4 linked regions of the Saccharomyces cerevisiae S288C genome follow. The protein of the gene in region 1 interacts with the protein of each later gene in a biochemical or structural test. Each region holds a gene or a part of one and is shown in the gene's direction. Other genes may lie near its edges.

Evidence for each region.
Region 2: the proteins of KCC4 (region 1) and YKL091C form a complex in vitro, tested with the Saccharomyces cerevisiae proteins (one large-scale study listed by BioGRID).
Region 3: the proteins of KCC4 (region 1) and SCT1 form a complex in vitro, tested with the Saccharomyces cerevisiae proteins (one large-scale study listed by BioGRID).
Region 4: the proteins of KCC4 (region 1) and GRX3 form a complex in vitro, tested with the Saccharomyces cerevisiae proteins (one large-scale study listed by BioGRID).

Annotation. Positions count from the first base shown.
Region 1 is NC_001135.5:77,520-87,327, forward strand, and holds KCC4 (serine/threonine protein kinase), read left to right. Parts: upstream 1-1,642; coding exon 1,643-4,756; downstream 4,757-9,808. Other genes in the region: amino acid transporter AGP1, read right to left, coding at 1-400; YCL021W-A (uncharacterized protein), read left to right, coding at 6,101-6,478; YCL020W (gag protein), read left to right, coding at 7,583-8,899. UniProt on the Saccharomyces cerevisiae protein: Involved in regulation of bud growth during cell cycle and in septin organization. Plays a role in cell wall synthesis.
Region 2 is NC_001143.9:265,317-272,600, reverse strand, and holds YKL091C (phosphatidylinositol/phosphatidylcholine-binding protein), read left to right. Parts: upstream 1-1,950; coding exon 1,951-2,883; downstream 2,884-7,284. Other genes in the region: CUE2 (Cue2p), read right to left, coding at 1-723; GTPase-activating protein BUD2, read left to right, coding at 3,142-6,456; MBR1 (Mbr1p), read right to left, coding at 6,793-7,284.
Region 3 is NC_001134.8:201,876-208,945, forward strand, and holds SCT1 (bifunctional glycerol-3-phosphate/glycerone-phosphate O-acyltransferase SCT1), read left to right. Parts: upstream 1-1,662; coding exon 1,663-3,942; downstream 3,943-7,070. Other genes in the region: FMT1 (methionyl-tRNA formyltransferase), read left to right, coding at 181-1,386; LAA2 (Laa2p), read right to left, coding at 4,232-5,074; protein kinase ALK2, read left to right, coding at 5,319-7,070. UniProt on the Saccharomyces cerevisiae protein: Dual substrate-specific glycerol-3-phosphate/dihydroxyacetone phosphate sn-1 acyltransferase, catalyzing the first and committed reaction in the de novo synthesis of glycerophospholipids and triacylglycerols (TAGs).
Region 4 is NC_001136.10:643,678-650,635, reverse strand, and holds GRX3 (monothiol glutaredoxin GRX3), read left to right. Parts: upstream 1-5,705; coding exon 5,706-6,458; downstream 6,459-6,958. Other genes in the region: YDR098C-A (gag protein), read left to right, coding at 1-832; mismatch repair ATPase MSH6, read left to right, coding at 6,799-6,958.

The DNA of each region.
Region 1 (9,808 bases):
TACCCGTACCCAACGCAATCATCAGAACATGTCTAGGCTGAATGGTTTTCTTCAGCGAGTCCGACTTATGACCTGTATTAGCGCCTATGTTGTCCGAACTTTCATTTTTTTCTAGTTCTTGAGCCTGTCTAGAAGAAGGTGAGATAGCCGACGTAAGATCGTTCATTTGTGTTGCTTCTACTTCATCCTGTGGACCCTGATCCGCTCTTTTAAAGGAGTCGAAAAACCTACGCACGGCAGAAGTGTTATGCTGTTCGTAACCTAAATGAGGTTGTGAGGATGGACGGTCATTGGAGCCTGTTTCGAAATATTCAATTTCATTATCCTGCCCCGTGGCATGTATTTCTGTGGAGCTATTTTTCAAGTCTTTCAGTTCGTATAGAGACTTCGACGACGACATTGTGCGAAGCTATCTTTGTCTATATTAGCGTGCTTCTTCTATAAAGATTACATAATAAACTTGTTCTACATTGTTGTGGGCAGACCATCAAAGACAAAGCACTTATATATGTATGTAAAACAAATGAGTATTACGAGGAAAATAACAAAAAGAAACTAATCACGAAGGATATGAGTCTTGTTAGCGGACGAGGGGAAGATAGCGCAAGACACACGTATAGCCGACCTATCCTATGCATCTTAGCCGTCTTATCAGGATTGATTTGCGGTTCAGTGAAAGAGATAACCACTGCCAAGCTGGAAGAAATGGCTAGAAGGCACTAAAAAAAGAGCCTCGCAGCGCAACTTAAGAACTGTGGACTACTAAGGAGCAGCAATCCGCTGGACGTGGGGGAGTTGAAAGTTGGCCGGATACTGCAACCTGCTTATCTATGACTCGATGAGACCGTTATTTAGTGCGATGGTGCCACTGGGAGTGCCATCAACGGCAAAGTTGCAGCTTTTTGCAGCAGATCAGTGCCGCTTAGACGGCACCCTCAAGCGGCACTGAAGAACGGCGCGCTTTTTTTTTTCTTCTATTATGCCGGTCAAGGAAAAAAAGAAACCAAAAAAAAATGCCGTGGGAGGCACGGATGCAAGATTTCTCCAAAGTCCCTTTTTAGCCGCCGAGGAAATGAGGAAATAAGGGGTTAGCCGCCGAGTGAAGCCGCCGAGGTATAAAAGGGAGAATGCACACCTTCGTAAGAAGATTCTATTTGAAAGAGTGCTAGGTAAAGTCATCAAAAGGCTTATTGATATAATAATTGCTTTGCAAAATGGAAAACAAATGACTTTGAAAATGGGAGAAAACAAAAATTATATAGGTAATGTTGAGTTCTTGATTTTTTTTTTGTTTCTGTCCTTGCCACAGCTCTTTTCATGGAACATTGGGCTCTAGGATAATTTTTTTATGTTTTCTGTTATGTTTGCCATGGTAGGTTGAGGTAAAGGCGCTCTTTCAGCAATGACGATTTATGCTAATATGTTTTCCTTAAAAGGAAAACATCTCGTTCTTTTTTTCGCGTGCTGTGCAAGAAAACGCGTAACGCAGTCTTAGTAAAAGGGCTCTCTTGAAAACTACATGAAAACTAAAAAAGAAGATGTAAATTTGGATACAACAGCGTAGAATAGCATAATAGAGTGTGCAATAAACGTGTATAGGCTTGATAATAGTGCTGACGTAAATTACCAGAACTACTGCAGTATGACTGTGGCGAATACCGAGACCCATTCTGCTGCTAAACCATCGAGTACTATAGGCCCATGGAAGCTTGGTGAAACACTGGGCTTTGGTAGCACCGGCAAGGTCCAACTTGCGCAACATGAGCGCACGGGCCATAGAACAGCCGTCAAAGTAATCTCAAAGTCCATTTTCAACAACAACGGAAACCACAGTAACGACGATTCAGTGCTGCCATACAACATCGAGCGTGAGATTGTTATTATGAAACTTTTGAGCCACCCAAACGTTCTGAGTCTTTACGACGTTTGGGAAACCAACAATAACCTGTACCTTATCCTGGAATACGCCGAAAAGGGAGAACTGTTCAACTTGCTTGTGGACCACGGTCCCTTGCCCGAGCGTGAGGCCATCAATTGCTTCAGACAGATAATTATAGGCATTTCATACTGCCATGCGCTAGGAATAGTACATCGGGATTTAAAGCCAGAAAATCTTTTGCTCGATAGTTTCTATAATATCAAAATTGCGGATTTTGGTATGGCAGCTTTACAGACAGACGCCGACCTGCTAGAAACTTCTTGTGGGTCTCCTCATTATGCCGCTCCTGAGATCGTATCAGGTCTGCCCTATGAAGGATTTGCCAGCGACGTTTGGTCTTGCGGTGTAATCCTCTTTGCCCTTTTAACGGGTAGACTACCCTTCGATGAAGAAAACGGTAATGTTAGGGATTTGTTATTGAAAGTCCAAAAGGGCCAGTTTGAAATGCCCAATGACACCGAAATTTCCAGAGATGCACAAGATTTAATCGGCAAGATTCTCGTTGTAGATCCCAGGCAAAGAATAAAAATCAGAGACATCCTTAGTCATCCACTGCTAAAAAAATATCAAACCATTAAGGATTCCAAAAGTATCAAAGATTTACCTCGTGAAAATACCTATCTATATCCACTGGCTGACTCGAACAACCATACTAGCGCCTCTATCGATGATTCAATCCTACAAAACTTGGTGGTACTTTGGCATGGTAGACACGCCGATGACATCGTATCTAAACTGAAAGAGAATGGAACCAACAAAGAAAAAATTCTATATGCGCTACTATACCGTTTCAAACTGGACTCTGTAAGGGGATCGAATAAGAAGAACCGCAATAAGATAAAGAAAACCAAAAAAAATAAAAGATCTAGCACACTTTCGTCATCGTCATCATTATTATTGAACAACCGAAGCATACAATCTACGCCACGCAGACGTACATCCAAGAGGCATTCCAGGGAATTCTCTTCTAGCAGGAAGAGATCGTCCTTTTTACTGTCCTCGAATCCTACCGATAGTTCTCCAATACCTTTGAGAAGTAGTAAAAGAATTACACATATTAACGTAGCGTCTGCAAATACCCAAGCAACGCCAAGTGGTGTCCCGAATCCTCACAAGAGGAACTCAAAAAAACGGTCAAGCAAAAGATTATCTTATATGCCTAATACAAAAAGAAGCTCACTAACATCAAAATCATTATCAAACTTTACTAACCTAATAGATGATGATGATTGGGAGTACATTGAAAAGGATGCAAAGAGAACAAGTTCCAACTTCGCTACACTGATTGATGAAATATTTGAGCCTGAGAAATTTGAATTGGCGAAAAGAGAAAAGGCTGAACTTCAAAGAAAAGTTCAGGAAGCAAAAAGGCAATCAGTGAATGCACAGAAGATTAATGAGGACGAGTTTGGATCCGAAGTTTCTGATGGAATGAAAGAGCTGAAAAAAATAAATGACAAAGTGTCGTCCCCGTTGATAAATTACGAATTTTCGCAACAAGAACTATTGCAAGATATAGACACCTTACTAACGAATCGTTATCAACTTTCGTCATATACTAGGCCTATTTCGAGACTGGATCCCGGATTAACGCCTGTTACTGAGACACTTCCTAACAACCTAAAAGAAAAAACAGCTCTGCTGCAGGATACTGAAAAGAAAATAATAGAAACGATACGCAGATCCAAATTTTTAGGATCGCTACTAAATGTTAGAGGGGGACTATCGCCAGGGAAAAGTGAACTGGCACCTATCGAAGAGTCTCCCATAGTTTCAACCACACCACTAATATATAATGATCGAATGGAACCTCGTAGGATATCCGATGTGGAAGTCCCACATTTCACGAGGAAATCAAAACACTTTACTACTGCTAATAATCGGCGCTCAGTCTTATCTTTGTATGCGAAGGATTCAATCAAAGACTTAAACGAATTTTTAATAAAGGAAGATCCTGATTTGCCTCCACAAGGAAGCACTGATAACGAAAGTAGGAGCGAAGATCCCGAAATAGCCGAGAGTATCACTGATTCAAGGAATATACAATATGATGAGGATGATAGTAAGGATGGTGATAATGTGAATAATGATAATATATTGAGCGACTTTCCTCAAGGCGTTGGCATATCACAGGAATACGACATGAAGGATAAAAATCCAAACCAATCTCCAATATCAAAAAGCGCAGAGCCCACACTGGTAGTGAAACTTCCGTCTTTGAGTTCTTTCCAAGGAAAAAACGCCAGTGGGTTGGGCCTATACCAAAGAGAGCCTTCTAAGGTAACCTTACCGAGCCTTACAAGTAATAACAGCAGCGTCGGAGAAAACATAGAGGATGGGGCGGAAAAAGGGACTGAGAGTGAGAAAATCGCTGCTTCCCTGTCAGACGATGACTTGAAGGAAGATAATGACAAGAAAGATAACGACACAGTGAATGCCCCTACTACAGTAAAAAAGCCACCTAACAGCGTACTCTTGAAAAAATTCTCAAAAGGTAAAATCTTAGAACTTGAAATACATGCCAAAATACCTGAAAAGAGACTATACGAGGGCCTACATAAACTACTAGAAGGCTGGAAGCAATACGGGTTGAAAAACCTGGTGTTTAACATCACTAATATGATCATAACAGGAAAATTGGTGAATGACAGTATTTTATTTTTACGATCTACGCTTTTTGAAATAATGGTTTTACCAAATGGAGACGGTAGAAGTTTAATTAAATTCAATAAGAAAACAGGATCTACTAAAACGCTGACCAAGCTTGCTACAGAAATCCAAATTATTTTACAAAAAGAAGGTGTTTTGGACAAATAAAAAAAAGGGAGGGATAATCGATCCCCAAATGGACAATACGATGTAACACCGTTATATAATTAATAAATGTATATATGTAACTATTTTTTGAAAAAAATAAAATGGTAATTTATTAAATATTTGGACCGGTCAACAATCTCAGATATAGTTGAAAAAATCTTTAATTGTAATAGCAGAAAAAAAAAACTCCGATACGGGGAGTCGAACCCCGGTCTCCACGGTGAAAGCGTGATGTGATAGCCGTTACACTATATCGGATAACAAATTATTAAAATTATTTAATAAAAAGATGAACTAATGGTGTATAAAAACATCATAAAAACTCAACTCAACTGTTCCAATAAAATCTGCAATTTAAATTAATTATTCTGAAAAAACACGTAAATTGTTGGAATGGAACCCTAAAATATTTCCTCTTTAGTACTGTTGGAATAGAAATCAACTATCATCTACTAACTAGTATTTACATTACTAGTATATTATCATATACGGTGTTAGAAGATGACGCAAATGATGAGAAATAGTCATCTAAATTAGTGGAAGCTGAAACGCAAGGATTGATAATGTAATAGGATCAATGAATATAAACATATAAAACGGAATGAGGAATAATCGTAATATTAGTATGTAGAAATATAGATTCCATTTTGAGGATTCCTATATCCTCGAGGAGAACTTCTAGTATATTCTGTATACCTAATATTATAGCCTTTATCAACAATGGAATCCCAACAATTATCTCAACATTCACCCATTTCTCAAGTACTATTCATGTTACTTGAGAAATGGGTGAATTTTGAGATAGTTGTTGGGATTCCATTGTTGATAAAGGCTAATAATATTAGGTATACAGAATATGCTAGAGGTTCTCCTCGAGCATATAGGAATCCTCAAAATGGAATTAGCATTTCTACATAATAACCTCAATTCCCTTTTGTGGATTCACATATTCTCGATCGGAACTCCTAGCATAGTGCAGACAACACTCACATAGCTCTCCCATTTATCAAGTTGGAATTCACTCCAAGAAATTTTCTTGCTTCTCTCTTTCCCACAGAAATGAAAAGGAACAGTTTGGCGGCTATTGTTTTAGCCCTTACTTTTTGGACCCTTTGAAAAAATGCCAAGAATGCGTGACGGTTTCCCTCCATGCTCGAGAACCACAAAAACCCTATGTGGTATTCGATTATGCGACTCACGGCAAATATTTGACTTGTCAAAGTTATTCGGGATTTCCTTGAATCCCTGAGAAGTGAAATGGAAAGAATTTAAGGGCATAAATACCTTTCAAGCACCCAGAAGAACAGTAAAATAAAGCAAGGTACGTGAAATTAATATTTTTAAATGGTTCTAACCGATGCCGAAGAACTGCGCAGTCCGGTTATAACGTCTGACATGTCCTTTTTTGATTTGGAATCCAACCACTCAAGTGACTCTGTTCATTTACTTTGCGAAAAATATACCCACAAATTGCCCATCGAAAGTGAATCGCAAACCACCTTCAGACTGGCACCGACAAAGCAAAGATTATACAGACAGAGTACTTTATACGTACCGTTAAGTCTCAAGCAAAGGGTTTTCTTATTTACTGAACGGGTAAAGAGTATCTGGGCCGGCTTGCCAAGATGCAAACCGAATAAGTATTTCAAAGTTGCATTTGCCTTAGCCGTCCTGACACCATTGGCTATTTGGATATTTTATATTGACTTTCGTGTACATTGATCACATCGACTGTTCTATTGGCAAATGAACCACGGGCATTGACTATTTTTCAGGTTACTACTATATATTATTGTTGGAATAAAAATCAACTATCATCTACTAACTAGTATTTACGTTACTAGTATATTATCATATACGGTGTTAGAAGATGACGCAAATGATGAGAAATAGTCATCTAAATTAGTGGAAGCTGAAACACAAGGATTGATAATGTAATAGGATCAATGAATATTAACATATAAAATGATGATAATAATATTTATAGAATTGTGTAGAATTGCAGATTCCCTTTTATGGTGTTGGAATAAAAATCAACTATCATCTACTAACTAGTATTTACGTTACTAGTATATTATCATATACGGTGTTAGAAGATGACGCAAATGATGAGAAATAGTCATCTAAATTAGTGGAAGCTGAAACGCAAGGATTGATAATGTAATAGGATCAATGAATATTAACATATAAAATGATGATAATAATATTTATAGAATTGTATAGAATTGCAGATTCCCTTTTATGGATTCCTAAATCCTCGAGGAGAACTTCTAGTATATCTACATACCTAATATTATTGCCTTATAAAAAATGGAATCCCAACAATTACATCAAAATCCACGTTCTTTTCATATGGATTCCTAAATCCTCGAGGAGAATTTATAATATAGTCTGTATACATAATATTATAGCTTCTAACGACAATGGAATTCTAACAATTATCAAATTGTCCGCCAGTTCCTCAAAAAGATCCATGTATAATCTTCATTATTACAGCCCTCTTGACCTCTAATCATGAATGTTCTCAAATAAATCTGTTGGAATAAAAATCAACTATCATCTACTAACTAGTATTTACGTTACTAGTATATTATCATATACGGTGTTAGAAGATGACGCAAATGATGAGAAATAGTCATCTAAATTAGTGGAAGCTGAAACGCAAGGATTGATAATGTAATAGGATCAATGAATATTAACATATAAAATGATGATAATAATATTTATAGAATTGTGTAGAATTGCAGATTCCCTTTTATGGATTCCTAAATCCTCGAGGAGAACTTCTAGTATATCTACATACCTAATATTATTGCCTTATAAAAAATGGAATCCCAACAATTACATCAAAATCCACGTTCTCTTCATGGTAGCGCCTATGCTTCGGTTACTTCTAAGGAAGTCCCATCAAATCAAGATCCGTTAGCCGTTTCAGCTTCCAATTTACCGGAATTTGATAGAGATTCCACTAAGGTTAATTCTCAACAAGAGACAACACCTGGGACATCAGCTGTTCCAGAGAACCATCATCATGTCTCTCCTCAACCTGCTTCAGTACCACCTCCACAGAATGGACAGTACCAACAGCACGGCATGATGACCCCAAACAAAGCTATGGCCTCTAACTGGGCACATTACCAACAACCGTCTATGATGACGTGTTCACATTATCAAACGTCACCTGCGTATTATCAACCGGACCCACACTATCCGTTGCCACAGTATATCCCACCACTGAGTACTTCCTCACCTGATCCAATCGATTCACAGAATCAACACTCTGAAGTACCTCAAGCTGAGACAAAGGTGAGAAATAACGTCTTACCACCACACACTTTAACATCAGAAGAAAACTTTTCTACATGGGTTAAATTTTACATCAGATTTTTGAAGAACTCTAATCTCGGTGACATCATTCCAAATGACCAGGGTGAAATCAAAAGACAAATGACTTATGAAGAACATGCGTATATATACAATACCTTCCAAGCATTTGCCCCATTTCATTTATTGCCAACATGGGTAAAACAAATTTTAGAAATTAATTATGCTGACATCCTTACAGTCCTTTGTAAAAGTGTGTCCAAAATGCAAACTAACAATCAAGAATTAAAGGATTGGATAGCTCTTGCCAACCTTGAGTACGACGGAAGTACATCTGCTGATACATTTGAAATTACAGTCAGTACGATCATTCAGAGGCTAAAAGAAAACAATATCAATGTTAGCGACAGATTGGCCTGTCAACTAATACTTAAAGGTCTATCCGGTGACTTCAAATACCTACGTAATCAATATCGTACCAAAACGAACATGAAACTTTCCCAATTATTCGCTGAAATTCAGTTAATATATGACGAAAATAAAATCATGAATCTAAATAAACCGTCCCAATACAAACAACACAGCGAATACAAAAATGTTTCTCGCACATCTCCAAACACGACTAACACAAAGGTTACAACTCGTAATTATCAGAGAACAAATAGTTCAAAACCAAGAGCAGCAAAAGCTCACAATATTGCTACATCTAGTAAATTCTCAAGGGTGAACAATGATCACATTAATGAATCAACCGTTTCATCACAATACTTAAGCGATGACAACGAACTTAGTCTTAGGCCAGCAACAGAAAGAATCTAAGCCAACACACACAATAGACTCGAATGACGAACTACCTGATCACCTTCTTATTGATTCAGGAGCTTCGCAAACGCTTGTCAGATCAGCCCATTATTTACACCATGCAACACCCAATTCTGAAATAAACATAGTCGATGCTCAAAAACAAGACATTCCTATAAATGCCATTGGTAATCTTCACTTCAACTTTCAGAACGGCACCAAAACATCAATAAAAGCACTACACACACCAAACATAGCCTATGATCTATTAAGTTTGAGTGAGCTGGCTAATCAAAATATTACTGCCTGCTTTACCAGAAACACTTTAGAAAGATCGGATGGTACAGTCCTAGCTCCCATAGTCAAACATGGAGACTTTTACTGGTTATCTAAAAAATACCTAATTCCTTCGCACATTTCAAAGCTAACAATAAACAACGTCAACAAAAGCAAAAGCGTAAATAAATATCCATATCCGTTAATACATCGAATGCTTGGACATGCTAACTTCCGAAGTATTCAGAAGTCTCTTAAGAAGAATGCAGTTACATATTTGAAGGAATCGGATATTGAATGGTCTAACGCTAGCACATATCAATGTCCTGACTGTCTAATCGGCAAAAGCACGAAACATAGACATGTCAAAGGATCACGACTAAAGTACCAAGAATCATATGAGCCTTTTCAGTACTTGCATACCGATATATTTGGTCCTGTACATCACTTACCGAAAAGTGCACCTTCTTACTTTATATCGTTTACAGATGAGAAAACCAGATTCCAATGGGTGTACCCATTACACGACCGTCGTGAAGAATCTATCCTCAATGTTTTTACATCGATATTAGCATTTATTAAGAACCAATTCAATGCTCGCGTTCTAGTTATCCAGATGGATCGTGGCTCCGAGTACACTAACAAAACTCT
Region 2 (7,284 bases), on another chromosome or scaffold:
ATCTGCAACTAATTCATTTAACTCAACCATCTGCGGACTATCCAAGGAGTGCTTATAACTCCTTGGCCTTTTGAGACTCTCTTGAGCAACATTTGCGGATTCTTTACCCTTTTTCAAAACGTGGGCAAGCCCCGTCGATGATTGAACTCGACCACCTCTCACAGTCGTATTAGGACTCCGTTTTACTTTGAAAGTATCCACATCTTTTTTAAAATCCCTTTTGTCGTAATAATCCAAAATGATTTTGATGATCGCCTTTACTGTATCAAAACCATTTTCGGCTAAGTATTCCTGCGCAATATTTTTGGGAGCGTCGGTAAACTTTATTATACTCTCTATGTGATCGTTTGTTGATTCCCAATTATTTTTCTTTTCGTTCCTTTTTACGCTATCAGGAGAATTTGCTTGATTGTCTTTAAGTTTTTGCAGGGTTTCATAATTCAGAAGATCAGAAATAGTCGATTCTACGGACTTCTCATTTATTACAAACTGATCTTTTATAACGCTGCAATCAAGCTGAGGAAACATGTCGTACAGTTGATGTAATTCATTATCAACTGTAGACTTATCGTCGTTTTCTTTTAACAGCAAGCCTATCGTTAAATCCAAATCATTATTGTTTTCAAGTAAATGTACTTGTAATTTGGATTTGGAAATAGCTGGAAACATGTCCATCAAGATTGACAATTTAGATTCATGGTCATCATTGTTATCCATACTCATTGCATGATCTTATATGCACGATAAATGAGGTGTCATAATTGCTTTATATTGATATACTGAAGGCGAATATCGCTGTTGAAATTTGAATTTTTTCGCATTTTTTTTTTTAACAGTGAATATCTTGGTGATAGAGGCAATTTCCAAACTGTGAAAGCAATATATCCTGATACATAATTCAGTACGTATGTTTGTTGATTTATATTTCATACGTATTCCTCTACGGTTTCAAACGTCTCCCCTGAGGCTTGTCTGTGAGTGTCCAGCGACGTTAAAGTAACATATGTTTGTTCTACGATATCTAGAATAAGTCTCCTTATAGTGTCAGTCTTTTCCATTCAGGATCGAGCACAACAGTTTTTTTTTGGCTGTCCCCTATCCATTATTTATGGAAATGTTTCAAATTTTGAATATCAATCAGACTATAATATTATGAAGAAATATCCATGTGTGCACGATTTATATGTCCCTAATTATGCAAGAAAAGCTAATATGAATACAAAAAAAGGCATGTGGGTGAATTACAAACTGCAGACTGTTTGAAAACAACCTTTTCAATGCATCCAGATTTTGTTGAAAGTATTTTTTTATGGACCCTGAGGACCGGATAGTAAGACAACAGGTGATTAACCTCCAGATGGTCCTTTCTCCTACTATTGTCCTATCTGATGACACCTCAATATCTCACCAAGTAAGCGACTTCAGAACACTCCAGATGGAATTTATGTGCCTTAATTATACGTAAAACATTGTCCGTTCTCTTCAGTTATAATTACTGCTGATTCAGGGGCGGCAGCTGATATATCTCGAGTCACCTTCAAAAATCAAACCTGCTATTGGGACCCGTACTTCCATTTGGATTTACCAACTTGATTCTTCTATCAGAGACGAAGGCCCTTATAAACCTTGAACCTGAGCTTAAAATTTACATATTACTTTCTTGTAATCATTAAGTATGAATTTGCAAGGCGTTTACATGAAAAGAGGTCGGCATAGTACATATGGAAATTTACTGGTATGCAATCCATTATGTGTTATCATATCTTTTTTACATAACAGGCACTTCTGAAATTCCCCCTCTTGTATGCCCCTATTTACTCCTTTTTAAATTCTTCGGATTATTATTTAGATCGTGATTCTCTCTACTCAAACATTTCCTTGAACTTGTATAACGGGGAAATAAATCTGAAAAGCAATACATTTGCGCACTGTTAAAACTGGAAAGGAAGAATGACAACCAGCATACTCGATACTTATCCTCAAATATGCTCCCCCAATGCTTTGCCAGGTACTCCCGGCAATTTGACTAAGGAGCAAGAGGAAGCGCTTTTGCAATTTAGGTCAATCTTGTTAGAAAAGAATTACAAAGAAAGGCTGGATGATTCTACGCTATTGCGATTTCTACGGGCAAGGAAATTTGATATCAATGCTAGCGTTGAGATGTTTGTAGAAACTGAACGATGGAGGGAAGAATACGGTGCCAACACTATTATCGAGGATTATGAAAACAACAAGGAAGCCGAAGACAAAGAAAGAATCAAATTGGCCAAAATGTACCCTCAGTATTACCATCACGTTGATAAGGATGGGAGACCATTGTACTTCGAAGAACTAGGAGGAATTAACTTAAAGAAAATGTACAAGATCACTACCGAAAAACAGATGCTAAGAAACTTAGTCAAGGAGTACGAATTATTTGCCACGTACCGGGTCCCAGCGTGTTCGAGAAGAGCTGGCTACCTTATTGAAACTTCGTGCACTGTGCTGGACTTGAAGGGTATCTCACTTTCTAATGCTTATCATGTGCTTTCCTATATTAAAGATGTTGCAGATATCAGTCAAAATTATTATCCTGAAAGAATGGGTAAGTTTTATATTATACACAGTCCATTTGGTTTCTCGACGATGTTCAAGATGGTTAAACCCTTCTTGGATCCAGTAACCGTGTCAAAAATCTTTATTCTTGGCTCTTCTTATAAAAAGGAATTATTAAAACAAATTCCAATCGAGAACTTGCCTGTTAAATATGGTGGTACATCTGTCTTGCACAACCCTAATGATAAGTTCTACTATTCCGATATTGGTCCCTGGAGAGACCCTAGATACATCGGACCAGAAGGTGAAATTCCCAACATTTTTGGTAAATTTACTGTTACCAGCTAACTATGATACAGGCCTTCGTCGTAGCTTTCCGTGAATATAGCATGCATACTCTATAATATGTATATCTCTGTATCTAATAATAATTAATGACTTTCATTCTTGAACGCGTTCTGTTCGATAAAAAAGAAAGGTATCCAAACAAACGCCATTTATGAAAACGGAGGAAGAAACAACAAAATAGTAGGAATAACTACTCGGTCAGACTGAAAACTTTATCCGTGCATACGTCGTGGTGTTTATCTTTGATTGTATCATATTATGAGCTCCAACAATGAACCGGCCCAAAGTCGAACATCATATTTCAAATTGAATGAATTTTTGTCCAACGTTAAGCATTACAAGAATACCTTTAAGGGTGAGATTCAGTGGTGTAATAACCTGTCCTTAAACGACTGGAAGACACACTATCTGCAAATTACCAGTACAGGTGCACTAACCCACTCAATCGATGAGTTAACAGCAGACTCTACTAATATTCAGCCAATTATCAAACATCTACAGCAATGTAGAATCGAGATTATTAAGGATAAGCATTCCTCTTTTAAGGATATTAATGCAAATTGTAATTTTATAATCCAAGTAAACACCTCAGGTAAAGATAATAAAGTTTACCTGCGAGTTAAAAGTTGGAGTGATTTCAAGAAATTGCTAACATGTCTGATCTGGTGGAGCTCAATGAAGACAAATGGTATATTTAATAAGTTTCAAGTATCGCGACCTCTAGAATTTAAAAGCAAAAAAATGGCGAAACCAGAAAGTTTGCTGGTTTACAAATTGAATGTTTTTGGGCCCATCGTTAAGAACATCGTCCTTCCGCCAGCAACAAATATTTTAGAAAGCCCTGATATAATTAATAATGATGACAACAGCGTAGGTTGGTTTTCCGCTATGGGGGTGCTTAAATCAAACGGCATGCTAGATCTTCTTTTACAGAGTGACGGCTCTCTGATTTACTCATTGAATATTAGCCAGCTTTTAAGATCAGAGATAAGAATTCTGGATTCATCTGTTTTACAAAGTGAAAACAGTTTGTTTTTAGGTGAATTGCCATTACTAAGGAGCCAGTTGGGCCTCGAAAAGTTTCGCATAGAAAATATTGCCAGTGCTGCCACCAACTCTAGTGATATTTCTCAAGAAATTATTGTAGAGTTTCCCTTAAGAATAGACCTGGAGGATTGTTTTATAGCGTTACAATCGTTCGCTAGGTCGGAATACTTATCTATTACTGGCTCAGATAAATCAAATGATATGAAGATATCGAATAGCTTTAAAATTTCCATACTGGAAGCTAATTTTCAGTCAATCAATTTAAATGACAAGAATAATACGCCATGGTCAATATTCACAGACATAACGGCCTGGGGCCATACATGGGCTAGAACATCCATGGTTTCAAACTCCTCTAATCCATTTTGGAGAGAAGAGTTTCAGTTCAATGAACTTTTAAGACTTACTAATTCTTATCTGGAAATCAAGCAGTTATTCCACGATCTCAATAATAAAAAACGGTTACGATTGATAGGCAAAATAAAAATCACACAAGAAATAATAAATGATACAAGATATAATAAGGAAACAAGACTACCCATCATGGACGTTGATAACAAAAATTTTCAAATAGGAACAATCTGTATTAAAATTTCTTCAAATTTGAACTTCATTTTACCGTCAACCAATTTCGTTAAATTGGAAAAACTTTTGATGAACGCAAACTTGTCCATGGTTTCCAATCTAATTTACAAATCTTCTTCATCAATGGAGAATGATAACAAATTGACGCAAACATCCATAATTTTTCTCGATATATTCCAATCTTTGTCAAGAATAGAAGAATGGTTCCACGTCCTTATAGACAAAGAATTGGCTAAAATTGATGGAACGGTTTCAAGAATAAACCAGAAAAATTTAGACTCAAAGCATGTTTTCAACAGTTTATTCCGTGGTAACTCTATCTTAACAAAGTCGATTGAACAGTACTTTTTCAGAGTGGGTAATGAATATTTGAGTAAAGCGCTTAGTGCAATACTAAAAGAGATCATTGAGTCAAACAAATCATGTGAATTGGATCCTGCTAGAGTAAAAGAAAAAGATGAAGTAAAAAAGAGGAAAATAATTGCCGACAACTACAAACGATTGTATTCTTGGGTTACGAAGATTTGGAAAAGGCTGTATGCAACGAGTAATGACCTGCCGATTGAAATAAGAAATGTTTTAAAAATCTTTAGGCAAAAACTAGAGATAATTTGTATCGATGACACTTTGCAAATAATTTTGAATGGTATATCAGGATTATTGTTTTTAAGGTTTTTTTGTCCAGTCATATTAAACCCTAAGCTATTCAAATATGTTTCTCAAAATTTAAACGAAACAGCAAGAAGGAATCTTACCCTAATAAGTAAAGTTTTACTTAATCTGTCCACTTTGACGCAGTTTGCAAACAAAGAGCCCTGGCTAATGAAGATGAATAACTTTATCGATAAAAGACACAATGACTTATTAGATTACATTGATAAAATGACGCAAAAGAAACTAGATTTTAATTCAAAGATATTGAACCTAAGTTCTACTATTTCGAGACCCAAATTGGCCATTGAACAAACGATGTTGGATGATTTGCCTCAGATTCCTTATCTGCTTGATAAGAATTTGAGAGAAACTGAGTTTGTTAACTTGATTGTTAATTTCAGTCAGGAAGATATGACCAAGATGGAAAAATACAATCACATGGATAATGGTGGGAAGGGAGAATTAATCGAAGAGGAGGGCCTGTTAAGCGGTAGCAGCCTAAATTTGTCTGTGGATAAAAAAGATTTGGATTCACCAATTGAGGTTAAGCCAGAAATTGGAGAGTTAGAATTTGAGAAAATAACTGAAAACAACACGGAGATCTTCGGAGATGATTTAATGAACCTACTGAAAAGCGATGATGTAGGTTCCAGAAGCAGAGATTTGGATAATGGCGCTAATTCAGGCATCAAATTTAATTCTATAATCCCGAAAGCAGAAGAGGAAAAGCATGCAATGAAAGAATTGGAGCAAGAGTCATGTTTACTCTATAATAGGATTAATCATATTAGAAAACGGTTGTCAGGTTATGAATGTGCTTCCAGCACTTTGTTTGAAGACAAAAAATACTCCATTTCACTCTCACATAAAATTTTTTATGAAGAAATAAAGGAGGGAAAAGAAATTGTTCTTAAACTACTAAATAAACCAACAAATGAAAACTCTTCCGCAAGATTGCAGAAATTCTTCACAAAAGGTGTCTCTAGTAAATCCAATAACACAGTTGGAGATAGTTACTGTAAATTTTTGACTATTGATGTAAGTGATGAGAATCCCAAGAGTAGCAACAAAACATCGGTACATGGAACATCATCGGAAAATGGAGCCAAGGATGATTACTTGACGCTTCCAAACTCGCAAGGTAAAGGTAACTTGGGGAATAGATTTTCCCCGACAAAGTTATCTAGGATAATGAGGAAACCTCCTAACGCAGATGTTCCTAAAGAACAAAATTCCCGTAAGCTGACAAGATGGTTCAAAAAGAAAAAAGAAACAGGGGGATCTTAATCGTAGAAAAAAATGTTCACTTCATATTCTTTCCTTTGAAAGTTTTTTTTTTTTTACTTCTTTATTCACTACTTGTAACAGTATATAGCGGGTTGTACTATCAGCAGAAAAAAGTAATTCATAATTTTTCAGAAAGATTTCTCATAATATAGTATATAAAAAAATGCTTCGAGAGGAGATGATAGACAGCGATAAGTATATGGAAATTTGGAAACCAAACAGGAGATACAAATGGGTATATATTATATTTAATAAAAACGAACAGATGGCGATCCAGAATGTGGAAATAAATAACAAAGTTGAACATCATACGGTTATTCCAAGGTGGCGAGAATGTTAGCCTGCAAAGGAACTTGCTAGTGACATCTCAATGAAAGATTTTTTCCTCCCAGCACCAAAGTTTGGTTTCGAAGACTGTTGCTGTTGTACTGGCTGCCTTGGTTGGTGGAATTGATTTGTATTTGTACCTAAAGGGAAATTTAGTGATGAGGAAGTGTTCGAATGTGATAATGATGAGGAGGTGTCCCCTGTATCGTTCGGACAACACGATGATATTTCACGGGGCCGATTATTTGAAAACCTTTCAATACTTTCTTCTGGGTCAGCAGTCAAAGTATCCAACCCAGGTGAAACGTACTTTTCCAAGCCATACAAATGTGTTGGTATGGCAATGGCAGAAGACCTTGATCTTGACCTGGGTAGAGAAAACGACCTTGAGTTGCAATGTTGAAGTGAGTTACTAGAGAATTCTGAATTGGGTGTTTCACTTTTCAGTAATACGTTGTTTTTCTTTTTAGTACACGCACCGCTAAAGAGCTCTGGTATAGA
Region 3 (7,070 bases), on another chromosome or scaffold:
AACCCATATTTATATCAAATGGAAGAAGCGTCCATTAAGAAAAAAGCAAAAAAAGCTGTACCTGCTATTATGGAGAGGAGTAAGCGCTTTTCTCATTAACGTAAAAAGAGAGGTAAGAAAAAAAAGGAAGGGGACCTAGGCACCTCATAGTGAGAAGATTGAAAACGGCGTATCAAACAAATGGTTAAAATGAGAAGAATAACACCTACACGCCTCCTATTCACATGCAGATATATTTCAAACAATGCTTCTCCACCAGTGCAGCCCTTGAATGTGCTTTTCTTTGGTAGCGACACTTTCAGTAATTTCTCATTGCAAGCACTCAATGAGTTGCGTCAAAATAATGGAAGCTGTGGTATAGTGGACAATATTCAAGTAGTAACTAGGTCGCCGAAGTGGTGCGGTAGACAGAAGTCTATTTTGAAATACCCGCCGATCTTCGATATGGCAGAGAAGCTTCAATTGCCACGCCCAATTACATGCGACACCAAGCAGGAAATGTTGGCGCTAAGCAAACTGACACCCAGTCGCCAAGGAAATCCGGAGAACGACGGCTCCGGTGCTCCGTTCAACGCGATCATTGCGGTTTCTTTTGGGAAGCTCATTCCGGGTGACTTGATCCGCGCGGTGCCATTGGCGCTAAACGTCCATCCTTCGCTACTTCCCAGACATAAAGGCAGTGCACCTATCCAGCGAGCTCTGCTCGAGGGTGACACTTACACCGGTGTAACTATACAGACACTGCATCCGGATCGGTTTGACCATGGTGCAATTGTAGCGCAGACGGAGCCACTGGCGATCGCAACAATGCTGTCAAAAGGGAGAGTCAATGATTCGACGGCAGATTTTAATTCTGAGGGCCTGCCTCGGAGGACTGCCATACTGATGGACCAGTTGGGCGCCCTTGGCGCCCAACTTTTGGGCCAAACGCTTCGTGAGAGGTTATATCTACCACAGAACCGTGTGCAAGCGCCAACAGCTTACAAACCCAGTTACGCCCACCGTATAACAACAGAAGATAAACGCATTCATTGGGCGCGCGATTCTGCCGCCGAACTACTTAACAAACTCGAAACGCTCGGTCCTCTGCACGCGTTCAAAGAAGCGACAGCGGCAAGAAAGGACGCTCAAAATTCAGTATTAAAACGAATATTGTTTCATGAGTGTAAAGTGATGAGAGACGCACGTCTAGATAATGGCAGTAAACCGGGCATGTTCAAATATGATGATATTAAAGACTGTATTTTGGTCACCTGTCGCGGCAACTTACTACTATGTGTGAGCCGCCTCCAGTTCGAAGGTTTCGCCGTAGAACGTGCTGGCCAGTTCATGGCGCGCCTGCGGAAAAGATGCGGCGCCCTGAGTGAAAAGTTAGTTTTCCTGTAACCCGGCTCTACATTCCTCTTTTAGTATTCTTCTTCTCCCTTCTTTCAATCCCTCATCCATCGGTCTCTCAACAACTATGGCTGCCAAGCCCTACGCGCTATGAAGAAAAAGAAAAGTAGGCCCGCCTTCTTTCCCAGTTGCAGTTTATTTATGATTCGGAAAGATTGATGTTAGTAATGGCTTGTAGTTCATAACAGAGTGAATTAAGTGTAGGAAGCCCGGAATTAAATATATAGTAAAAAGAGCACAGGGGCGTTTACATCGGGGTAAAAAAAAATGCCTGCACCAAAACTCACGGAGAAATTTGCCTCTTCCAAGAGCACACAGAAAACTACGAATTACAGTTCCATCGAGGCCAAAAGCGTCAAGACGTCGGCTGATCAGGCATACATCTACCAAGAGCCTAGCGCTACCAAGAAGATACTTTACTCCATCGCCACATGGCTGTTGTACAACATCTTCCACTGCTTCTTTAGAGAAATCAGAGGCCGGGGCAGTTTCAAGGTACCGCAACAGGGACCGGTGATCTTTGTTGCGGCTCCGCATGCTAACCAGTTCGTCGACCCTGTAATCCTTATGGGCGAGGTGAAGAAATCTGTCAACAGACGTGTGTCCTTCTTGATTGCGGAGAGCTCATTAAAGCAACCCCCCATAGGGTTTTTGGCTAGTTTCTTCATGGCCATAGGCGTGGTAAGGCCGCAGGATAATTTGAAACCGGCAGAAGGTACTATCCGCGTAGATCCAACAGACTACAAGAGAGTTATCGGCCACGACACGCATTTCTTGACTGATTGTATGCCAAAGGGTCTCATCGGGTTACCCAAATCAATGGGATTTGGAGAAATCCAGTCCATAGAAAGTGACACGAGTTTGACCCTAAGAAAAGAGTTCAAAATGGCCAAACCAGAGATTAAAACTGCTTTACTCACCGGCACTACTTATAAATATGCCGCTAAAGTCGACCAATCTTGCGTTTACCATAGAGTTTTTGAGCATTTGGCCCATAACAACTGCATTGGGATCTTTCCTGAAGGTGGGTCCCACGACAGAACAAACTTGTTGCCCCTGAAAGCAGGTGTGGCGATTATGGCTCTTGGTTGCATGGATAAGCATCCTGACGTCAATGTTAAGATTGTTCCCTGCGGTATGAATTATTTCCATCCACATAAGTTCAGGTCGAGAGCGGTTGTTGAATTCGGTGACCCCATTGAAATACCGAAGGAACTAGTCGCCAAGTACCACAACCCGGAAACGAACAGAGATGCAGTGAAAGAATTATTAGATACCATATCGAAGGGTTTACAATCCGTTACCGTTACATGTTCTGATTATGAAACTTTGATGGTGGTTCAAACGATAAGAAGACTATATATGACACAATTTAGCACCAAGTTACCGTTGCCCTTGATTGTGGAAATGAACAGAAGAATGGTCAAAGGTTACGAATTCTATAGAAACGATCCTAAAATAGCGGACTTGACCAAAGATATAATGGCATATAATGCCGCCTTGAGACACTATAATCTTCCTGATCACCTTGTGGAGGAGGCAAAGGTAAATTTCGCAAAAAACCTCGGACTTGTTTTTTTTAGATCCATCGGGCTCTGCATCCTCTTTTCGTTAGCCATGCCAGGTATCATTATGTTCTCACCTGTCTTCATATTAGCCAAGAGAATTTCTCAAGAAAAGGCCCGTACCGCTTTGTCCAAGTCTACAGTTAAAATAAAGGCTAACGATGTCATTGCCACGTGGAAAATCTTGATTGGGATGGGATTTGCGCCCTTGCTTTACATCTTTTGGTCCGTTTTAATCACTTATTACCTCAGACATAAACCATGGAATAAAATATATGTTTTTTCCGGGTCTTACATCTCGTGTGTTATAGTCACGTATTCCGCCTTAATCGTGGGTGATATTGGTATGGATGGTTTCAAATCTTTGAGACCACTGGTTTTATCTCTTACATCTCCAAAGGGCTTGCAAAAGCTACAAAAGGATCGTAGAAATCTGGCAGAAAGAATAATCGAAGTTGTAAATAACTTTGGAAGCGAATTATTCCCCGATTTCGATAGTGCCGCCCTACGTGAAGAATTCGACGTCATCGATGAAGAGGAAGAAGATCGAAAAACCTCAGAATTGAATCGCAGGAAAATGCTAAGAAAACAGAAAATAAAAAGACAAGAAAAAGATTCGTCATCACCTATCATCAGCCAACGTGACAACCACGATGCCTATGAACACCATAACCAAGATTCCGATGGCGTCTCATTGGTCAATAGTGACAATTCCCTCTCTAACATTCCATTATTCTCTTCTACTTTTCATCGTAAGTCAGAGTCTTCCTTAGCTTCGACATCCGTTGCACCTTCTTCTTCCTCCGAATTTGAGGTAGAAAACGAAATCTTGGAGGAAAAAAATGGATTAGCAAGTAAAATCGCACAGGCCGTCTTAAACAAGAGAATTGGTGAAAATACTGCCAGGGAAGAGGAAGAGGAAGAAGAAGAGGAAGAAGAAGAAGAGGAAGAAGAAGAAGAAGGGAAAGAAGGAGATGCGTAGATGCCATTTACTGACGGTGAAGATACTAGAAACTAAATCTTTCGCCGTTCTATTTATGTAATAAACCCATTATTGCTCATTGGGAGTTGTAAATATTAATGCTCAATGTTTATGTATATCCCTCGCACAGGGGCTTTTTATTTCTTGAGGGGGGGACTAATTGTATAATTGTATGTTTTATAAAAAAGTATATTGCTCTTTTACGACTTTTGGTCTGGTCCCCTATGCTACTAATAACATTTTATTCTCTTCAAACTTCAACGTTCAACCTGCTTTGCCGAGACGGCGATTAGTATCCTACCCAACTGAACCTTTTCTTTTTGTTTCGCTTTTTGTTATACAATGCAATTTCGTCTCGCTGTAGTCTTTGGGTATGTCCTGTCAAATTCGTCACTACATTTTCAAAAGTTGTCTTATCCTTTAGGAGGTCTCGCTGTTGTTTCTTCAATGATCTTGATTTACTAACCAAAAAGTCAATGGATTGACACAATGTATCGTGGTATTGGCGTAAAGATTCTTCATCCATACTAGTAAAATCTGCCATAAGCAATTGCGGTATATGCTGCTCTTGCTCACGCTCCTCTTCCTTTTGAAGAGATTTTAAAGTCATTGGTGGTGTATAGTCAATTTTGAAATTATCCCTCAGGAAGAGACCAGTAGCCGTTTGCTCATTTTTCTCCACTGCATCGCATATCCTTTTGAACAACTCATCATTCAACGGTTCTTCCTCCCTCTTCGTACCAACACCCTCAGAGCCATTATTATCCGATAATCTCAAAATGTGGAGCAAGTTTCTGCGTATATGAGATTTATTCCATATGAATGGCTGTAACACAGGATCTAATTGTACGAGTTGTTCATAAATGACATGGGGTCGTTCATCTTCAATAAGTTTGCTCAGCTTGAAACAGTCATTCTTTATGGTTTCTTCTTCCAGGTCAAATTCTCCCTTTGGTAGTATCTTATTCAAGCAGTTATCTACTACAGATTCGGAAGACGTCGTTAAAGTAGAATTCTGGTTATAGAGGTCATTTTCAACTGAGGCATCTGAAAAATTCCCAAAATCATCACTAGAATCACTTTCTGCATCTAATGCATTTGTGACAGGTTCTATCTGATCTCTATCGCTCATTTGCTTGCTTTGAAAGAGGTGCCTTTTTCTATCTTGCTACACCTTAAATTCTCGTTTGTGATACGCCTAACGTTTTTTTTTTTTTTCAGTTTTGATAGCAATTCGCGAAACTTTTTGTAACATCTTCTCTTCTCGAAAAGCGAAAATAGTAAACAATAACTTAAAGCGTATTGGTATTAATATATTTAGTTGTAGTAAAATCATTTCACCAAACACACATACATGCGCTATTTGTATTGAGAAAATGAATTTTGATGCGGTAGCAGATCAACAGATGACTGACAGAAGGTATTTTGCTCTCGAAGTAGCAGAAAGCGATGATGCCGACAGCTCATTAAATTCTTCATCCATGGGAAGCCCCGCAGTGGATGTAGGAAGAAAAGTTTACAAAATCACTTCGCACAAGGGTTCAGCAGAAGATGAGAGTCAATCCTTTTTTACTTCTTCAGATTCTCCAACATCCAAAACAAGGCCTGTAGGTAAAACCATCGAAAACGATGATTACTATGGTAAAAGATCTTCTACAGGTTCATCGCTCAAACAACTCTTCAATAAAATTAATATTAATGATACCGCTCACTCTTCAAACAAAGAAAATGTATCTCAGTCGGTGCTATCGGAAAACAAGCTGCTCTCTCCATCTAAAAGGTTGTCGAAGCAAGGTCTTACAAAGGTGACTAACTCCAAGTTTCGTACACCCTTGAGACCTATTTCAAACCAATCGACTTTATCAAGGGATGAGCCTGTTAAAGATTTTAGATCACTTAAGTTTCGGAGCGGTAGTGATTTCAAATGCTGGGGTGACGAGAAGACAAGTTCTCATGTTCATTCATCCAGTGTGAACTCAGTTAATTCCTTTACTTCTACCACCTCTTCTTCAAAGTGGAAGTTCTGGAAAAATGATAACCTATTGTCGAGGTCGCTATCTTCCAGATCTGTGAATGACCAAGATCCGAACTTTGTTCAGCCAAAACCAACCAATTCGTTACAAAAGAAGTCTTCAATTTCAAGTTTTCACAATTCTATTTTTGGTGGTGGCAAACACACAGAGAAGAAGAGGAATTCTGGATTTATTATGCCCGATCATCAGAGCACGAAGGAGCTAAACCACAAACATTCATCATCGAACCTTTCCTTTAGAAGTTTGAAGCATAAAACATCACATTCTTCACTAAATAAGCTCAAAGTAAGGCGTAAAGGAAATACACAAGAACTGAATCATCCGATCAAAAAAACTTGCCAAATATCATTGCCTGTTCCAGACCAAGTCTCAAAGGACAAGATTCAACTGAAATTGAAAAATTCAACATCATTGGCATCCTTATCTTCAGAAGTCACTCCCATAAACACTTTGGACTACAATGATTCAATTTTGCAACAAATATTACAACTTTGTGATGTTAAGTATATATTACATGATCTACGTGAAGCTCAGTCATTAGGCTTGTTTACGTTGAATACTAGATCGGTTCAGCTGTCTCATAACTTTTGGCAAACTTATCATAGCGATATGCAAACTTCACTCATTTGCAAGAAAGTATGTCTAGGGGCTCTAAGTGATTTGACTACTTCAAACTTGATATCCTTACATGAATTGAAATCATTACGGTTAATACAAGGAACTAGCGGTGTCGCCAATTTACTGCAAGCTTATGTTGTGCCCTCAAATCAATGTGAAAATGACCAAAACTTGATACTGTACTTATTTTTCAAATACCAGGGAACTCCTCTATCAAGGTGCTCTAACATTGATTACTCTCAAGCATTGTCTATTTTCTGGCAGTGCAGCAGTATTTTATATGTTGCTGAATCCAAATTTCAGCTCGAACACAGGAATCTAACTTTGGACCATATTTTGATAGACTCTAAAGGGAATGTTACTTTAATTGATATGAAGTGCTGTCGTTTCTTGAATATAGACAACAATAAGGCTTCCTATACAAGATTAGACCATCATTATTTCTTCCAAGGCCGGGGGACTCTTCAATTCGAGATA
Region 4 (6,958 bases), on another chromosome or scaffold:
CACTAAAAAATATGTCAGACCACCACCAATGTTAACCTCACCTAATGACTTTCCAAATTGGGTTAAAACATACATCAAATTTTTACAAAACTCGAATCTCGGTGGTATTATTCCGACAGTAAACGGAAAACCCGTACGTCAGATCACTGATGATGAACTCACCTTCTTGTATAACACTTTTCAAATATTTGCTCCCTCTCAATTCCTACCTACCTGGGTCAAAGACATCCTATCCGTTGATTATACGGATATCATGAAAATTCTTTCCAAAAGTATTGAAAAAATGCAATCTGATACCCAAGAGGCAAACGACATTGTGACCCTGGCAAATTTGCAATATAATGGCAGTACACCTGCAGATGCATTTGAAACAAAAGTCACAAACATTATCGACAGACTGAACAATAATGGCATTCATATCAATAACAAGGTCGCATGCCAATTAATTATGAGAGGTCTATCTGGCGAATATAAATTTTTACGCTACACACGTCATCGACATCTAAATATGACAGTCGCTGAACTGTTCTTAGATATCCATGCTATTTATGAAGAACAACAGGGATCGAGAAACAGCAAACCTAATTACAGGAGAAATCCGAGTGATGAGAAGAATGATTCTCGCAGCTATACGAATACAACCAAACCCAAAGTTATAGCTCGGAATCCTCAAAAAACAAATAATTCGAAATCGAAAACAGCCAGGGCTCACAATGTATCCACATCTAATAACTCTCCCAGCACGGACAACGATTCCATCAGTAAATCAACTACTGAACCGATTCAATTGAACAATAAGCACGACCTTCATCTTAGGCCAGGAACTTACTGAATCTACGGTAAATCACACTAATCATTCTGATGATGAACTCCCTGGACACCTCCTTCTCGATTCAGGAGCATCACGAACCCTTATAAGATCTGCTCACCACATACACTCAGCATCATCTAATCCTGGCATAAACGTAGTTGATGCTCAAAAAAGAAATATACCAATTAACGCTATTGGTGACCTACAATTTCACTTCCAGGACAACACCAAAACATCAATAAAGGTATTGCACACTCCTAACATAGCCTATGACTTACTCAGTTTGAATGAATTGGCTGCAGTAGATATCACAGCATGCTTTACCAAAAACGTCTTAGAACGATCTGACGGCACTGTACTTGCACCTATCGTAAAATATGGAGACTTTTACTGGGTATCTAAAAAGTACTTGCTTCCATCAAATATCTCCGTACCCACCATCAATAATGTCCATACAAGTGAAAGTACACGCAAATATCCTTATCCTTTCATTCATCGAATGCTTGCGCATGCCAATGCACAGACAATTCGATACTCACTTAAAAATAACACCATCACGTATTTTAACGAATCAGATGTCGACTGGTCTAGTGCTATTGACTATCAATGTCCTGATTGTTTAATCGGCAAAAGCACCAAACACAGACATATCAAAGGTTCACGACTAAAATACCAAAATTCATACGAACCCTTTCAATACCTACATACTGACATATTTGGTCCAGTTCACAACCTACCAAATAGTGCACCATCCTATTTCATCTCATTTACTGATGAGACAACAAAATTCCGTTGGGTTTATCCATTACACGACCGTCGCGAGGACTCTATCCTCGATGTTTTTACTACGATACTAGCTTTTATTAAAAACCAGTTTCAGGCCAGTGTCTTGGTTATACAAATGGACCGTGGTTCTGAGTATACTAACAGAACTCTCCATAAATTCCTTGAAAAAAATGGTATAACTCCATGCTATACAACCACAGCGGATTCCCGAGCACATGGAGTCGCTGAACGGCTAAACCGTACCTTATTAGATGACTGCCGTACTCAACTGCAATGTAGTGGTTTACCGAACCATTTATGGTTCTCTGCAATCGAATTTTCTACTATTGTGAGAAATTCACTAGCTTCACCTAAAAGCAAAAAATCTGCAAGACAACATGCTGGCTTGGCAGGACTTGATATCAGTACTTTGTTACCTTTCGGTCAACCTGTTATCGTCAATGATCACAACCCTAACTCCAAAATACATCCTCGTGGCATCCCAGGCTACGCTCTACATCCGTCTCGAAACTCTTATGGATATATCATCTATCTTCCATCCTTAAAGAAGACAGTAGATACAACTAACTATGTTATTCTTCAGGGCAAGGAATCCAGATTAGATCAATTCAATTACGACGCACTCACTTTCGATGAAGACTTAAACCGTTTAACTGCTTCATATCATTCGTTCATTGCGTCAAATGAGATCCAAGAATCCAATGATCTTAACATAGAATCTGACCATGACTTCCAATCCGACATTGAACTACATCCTGAGCAACCGAGAAATGTCCTTTCAAAAGCTGTGAGTCCAACCGATTCCACACCTCCGTCAACTCATACTGAAGATTCGAAACGTGTTTCTAAAACCAATATTCGCGCACCCAGAGAAGTTGACCCCAACATATCTGAATCTAATATTCTTCCATCAAAGAAGAGATCTAGCACCCCCCAAATTTCCAATATCGAGAGTACCGGTTCGGGTGGTATGCATAAATTAAATGTTCCTTTACTTGCTCCCATGTCCCAATCTAACACACATGAGTCGTCGCACGCCAGTAAATCTAAAGATTTCAGACACTCAGACTCGTACAGTGAAAATGAGACTAATCATACAAACGTACCAATATCCAGTACGGGTGGTACCAACAACAAAACTGTTCCGCAGATAAGTGACCAAGAGACTGAGAAAAGGATTATACACCGTTCACCTTCAATCGATGCTTCTCCACCGGAAAATAATTCATCGCACAATATTGTTCCTATCAAAACGCCAACTACTGTTTCTGAACAGAATACCGAGGAATCTATCATCGCTGATCTCCCACTCCCTGATCTACCTCCAGAATCTCCTACCGAATTCCCTGACCCATTTAAAGAACTCCCACCGATAAATTCTCATCAAACTAATTCCAGTTTGGGTGGTATTGGTGACTCTAATGCCTATACTACTATCAACAGTAAGAAAAGATCATTAGAAGATAATGAAACTGAAATTAAGGTATCACGAGACACATGGAATACTAAGAATATGCGTAGTTTAGAACCTCCGAGATCGAAGAAACGAATTCACCTGATTGCAGCTGTAAAAGCAGTAAAATCAATCAAACCAATACGGACAACCTTAAGATACGATGAGGCAATCACCTATAATAAAGATATTAAAGAAAAGGAAAAATATATCGAAGCATACCACAAAGAAGTCAACCAACTATTGAAAATGAATACTTGGGACACTGACAAATATTATGACAGAAAAGAAATAGACCCTAAAAGAGTAATAAATTCAATGTTTATCTTCAACAGGAAACGTGACGGTACTCATAAAGCTAGATTTGTTGCAAGAGGTGATATTCAGCATCCTGACACTTACGACTCAGGCATGCAATCCAATACCGTACATCACTATGCATTAATGACATCCCTGTCACTTGCATTAGACAATAACTACTATATTACACAATTAGACATATCTTCGGCATATTTGTATGCAGACATCAAAGAAGAATTATACATAAGACCTCCACCACATTTAGGAATGAATGATAAGTTGATACGTTTGAAGAAATCACTTTATGGATTGAAACAAAGTGGAGCGAACTGGTACGAAACTATCAAATCATACCTGATAAAACAGTGTGGTATGGAAGAAGTTCGTGGATGGTCATGCGTATTTAAGAATAGTCAAGTAACAATTTGCTTATTCGTTGATGATATGATATTGTTCAGCAAAGACTTAAATGCAAATAAGAAAATCATAACAACACTCAAGAAACAATACGATACAAAGATAATAAATCTGGGTGAAGGTGATAACGAAATTCAGTACGACATACTTGGATTAGAGATCAAATATCAAAGAAGCAAGTACATGAAATTAGGTATGGAAAAATCCTTGACAGAAAAATTACCCAAACTAAACGTACCTTTGAACCCAAAAGGAAAGAAACTTAGAGCTCCAGGTCAACCAGGTCATTATATAGACCAGGATGAACTAGAAATAGATGAAGATGAATACAAAGAGAAAGTGCATGAAATGCAAAAGTTGATTGGTCTAGCTTCATATGTTGGATATAAATTTAGATTTGACTTACTATACTACATCAACACACTTGCTCAACATATACTATTCCCCTCTAGGCAAGTTTTAGACATGACATATGAGTTAATACAATTCATGTGGGACACTAGAGATAAACAATTAATATGGCACAAAAACAAACCTACCAAGCCAGATAATAAACTAGTCGCAATAAGCGATGCTTCATATGGTAACCAACCATATTACAAGTCACAAATTGGTAACATTTTCCTACTCAACGGAAAAGTGATTGGAGGAAAGTCGACAAAGGCTTCGTTAACATGCACTTCAACTACAGAAGCAGAAATACACGCAGTCAGTGAAGCTATTCCGCTATTGAATAACCTCAGTCACCTTGTGCAAGAACTTAACAAGAAACCAATTATTAAAGGCTCACTTACTGATAGTAGATCAACGATCAGTATAATTAAGTCTACAAATGAAGAGAAATTTAGAAACAGATTTTTTGGCACAAAGGCAATGAGACTTAGAGATGAAGTATCAGGTAATAATTTATACGTATACTACATCGAGACCAAGAAGAACATTGCTGATGTGATGACAAAACCTCTTCCGATAAAAACATTTAAACTATTAACAAACAAATGGATTCATTAGATCTATTACATTATGGGTGGTATGTTGGAATAAAAATCAACTATCATCTACTAACTAGTATTTACGTTACTAGTATATTATCATATACGGTGTTAGAAGATGACGCAAATGATGAGAAATAGTCATCTAAATTAGTGGAAGCTGAAACGCAAGGATTGATAATGTAATAGGATCAATGAATATTAACATATAAAACGATGATAATAATATTTATAGAATTGTGTAGAATTGCAGATTCCCTTTTATGGATTCCTAAATCCTCGAGGAGAACTTCTAGTATATTCTGTATACCTAATATTATAGCCTTTATCAACAATGGAATCCCAACAATTATCTAATTACCCACATATATCTCAATAACAAAACGAACAACATGAGATAAAACACGGCCTTCCCTAGCTGAACTACCCAAACGTATAAATGCTTGAACAATTAGTTTAGATCCGAGATTCCGCGCTTCCACCACTTAGTATGATTCATATTTTATATAATATATAAGATAAGTGACATTCCGTGAATTAATCTGATAAACTGTTTTGACAACTGGTTACTTCCCTAAGACTGTTTATATTAGGATTGTCAAGACACTGCGGTATTACTCGAGCCCGTAATACAACAATACACAGTTGTTACGGTCCTATAGTGTAGTGGTTATCACTTTCGGTTTTGATCCGGACAACCCCGGTTCGAATCCGGGTAGGACCTTTTTTAACTGTGGCTTCTCTGTTGAACCATCAGTTACTTTTTTTTTTTTTCAGAGAATGTGTGCCGGGTCATGAGATGCCAAACTAAGAGGTCATTAAAATATATTTCAAAGACTAAATGTGTTCTTTTCAGGTTCCATCTGCATTTTCTTTTAACTACACCTCGTACTGTTATAAACGCCACCAAGCAAGATATTACACAGCAGCAAAACTTTTTCAGGAAATGCCTGTTATTGAAATTAACGATCAAGAGCAATTTACTTACCTAACTACCACTGCGGCCGGCGACAAGTTAATCGTGCTTTATTTCCATACCAGTTGGGCAGAACCATGCAAAGCATTAAAGCAGGTTTTTGAGGCCATTAGTAATGAGCCTTCCAATTCCAACGTCTCTTTCTTATCCATTGATGCGGACGAAAACTCGGAAATTTCAGAACTTTTTGAAATCTCAGCTGTTCCATATTTTATCATAATTCACAAAGGGACAATCTTAAAAGAATTATCCGGCGCGGATCCAAAGGAGTATGTGTCTTTATTAGAAGACTGCAAGAACTCAGTCAATTCCGGATCATCACAAACTCATACTATGGAAAATGCAAACGTAAATGAGGGGAGTCATAATGATGAAGACGATGACGACGAAGAAGAGGAAGAAGAAACTGAGGAGCAAATAAACGCTAGATTGACTAAATTGGTCAATGCCGCGCCGGTAATGTTATTTATGAAGGGGAGCCCCTCTGAACCTAAATGCGGGTTTTCGAGACAACTTGTGGGTATCTTGAGAGAACATCAAGTAAGATTTGGCTTCTTTGATATATTAAGAGACGAATCTGTTAGACAAAACTTGAAAAAGTTTTCTGAATGGCCAACTTTCCCTCAACTTTATATAAATGGGGAGTTTCAAGGCGGTTTAGACATTATCAAGGAATCCTTGGAGGAAGACCCTGATTTTTTGCAGCATGCTCTCCAATCTTAAATAAATAGATGTATTTAGTGTAAATTGAAACAGAAAAGTCTCCATTTCCAACTAATGGTATGCAAGCATTTTTATATGTGTGACATAATGAATGGCTTCTGGTTAAGTTTGGCTTTTTGAACAACCATTGCCCGGAGAAAATAAACGCGTGAGCAGTAGCTGATACGCGTCTCACTTTTTCATAAATTCATGTATAGGTCATCGCCATATAGAGAAAATATTTGAAATTACATCTGTTGAAACTAATAAGAGCTTTTCCTTGGAGCCTTCTTTGCTAACAGATAAGATTTTTTAATTGGAGCAACTAGTTAATTTTGACAAAGCCAATTTGAACTCCAAAATGGCCCCAGCTACCCCTAAAACTTCTAAGACTGCACACTTCGAAAATGGCTCCACATCTTCTCAAAAGAAAATGAAGCAATCGAGTTTGTTATCTTTTTTCTCAAAACAGGTACCTTCTGGCACACCGTCAAAGAAGGTCCAGAAGCCTACTCCAGCGA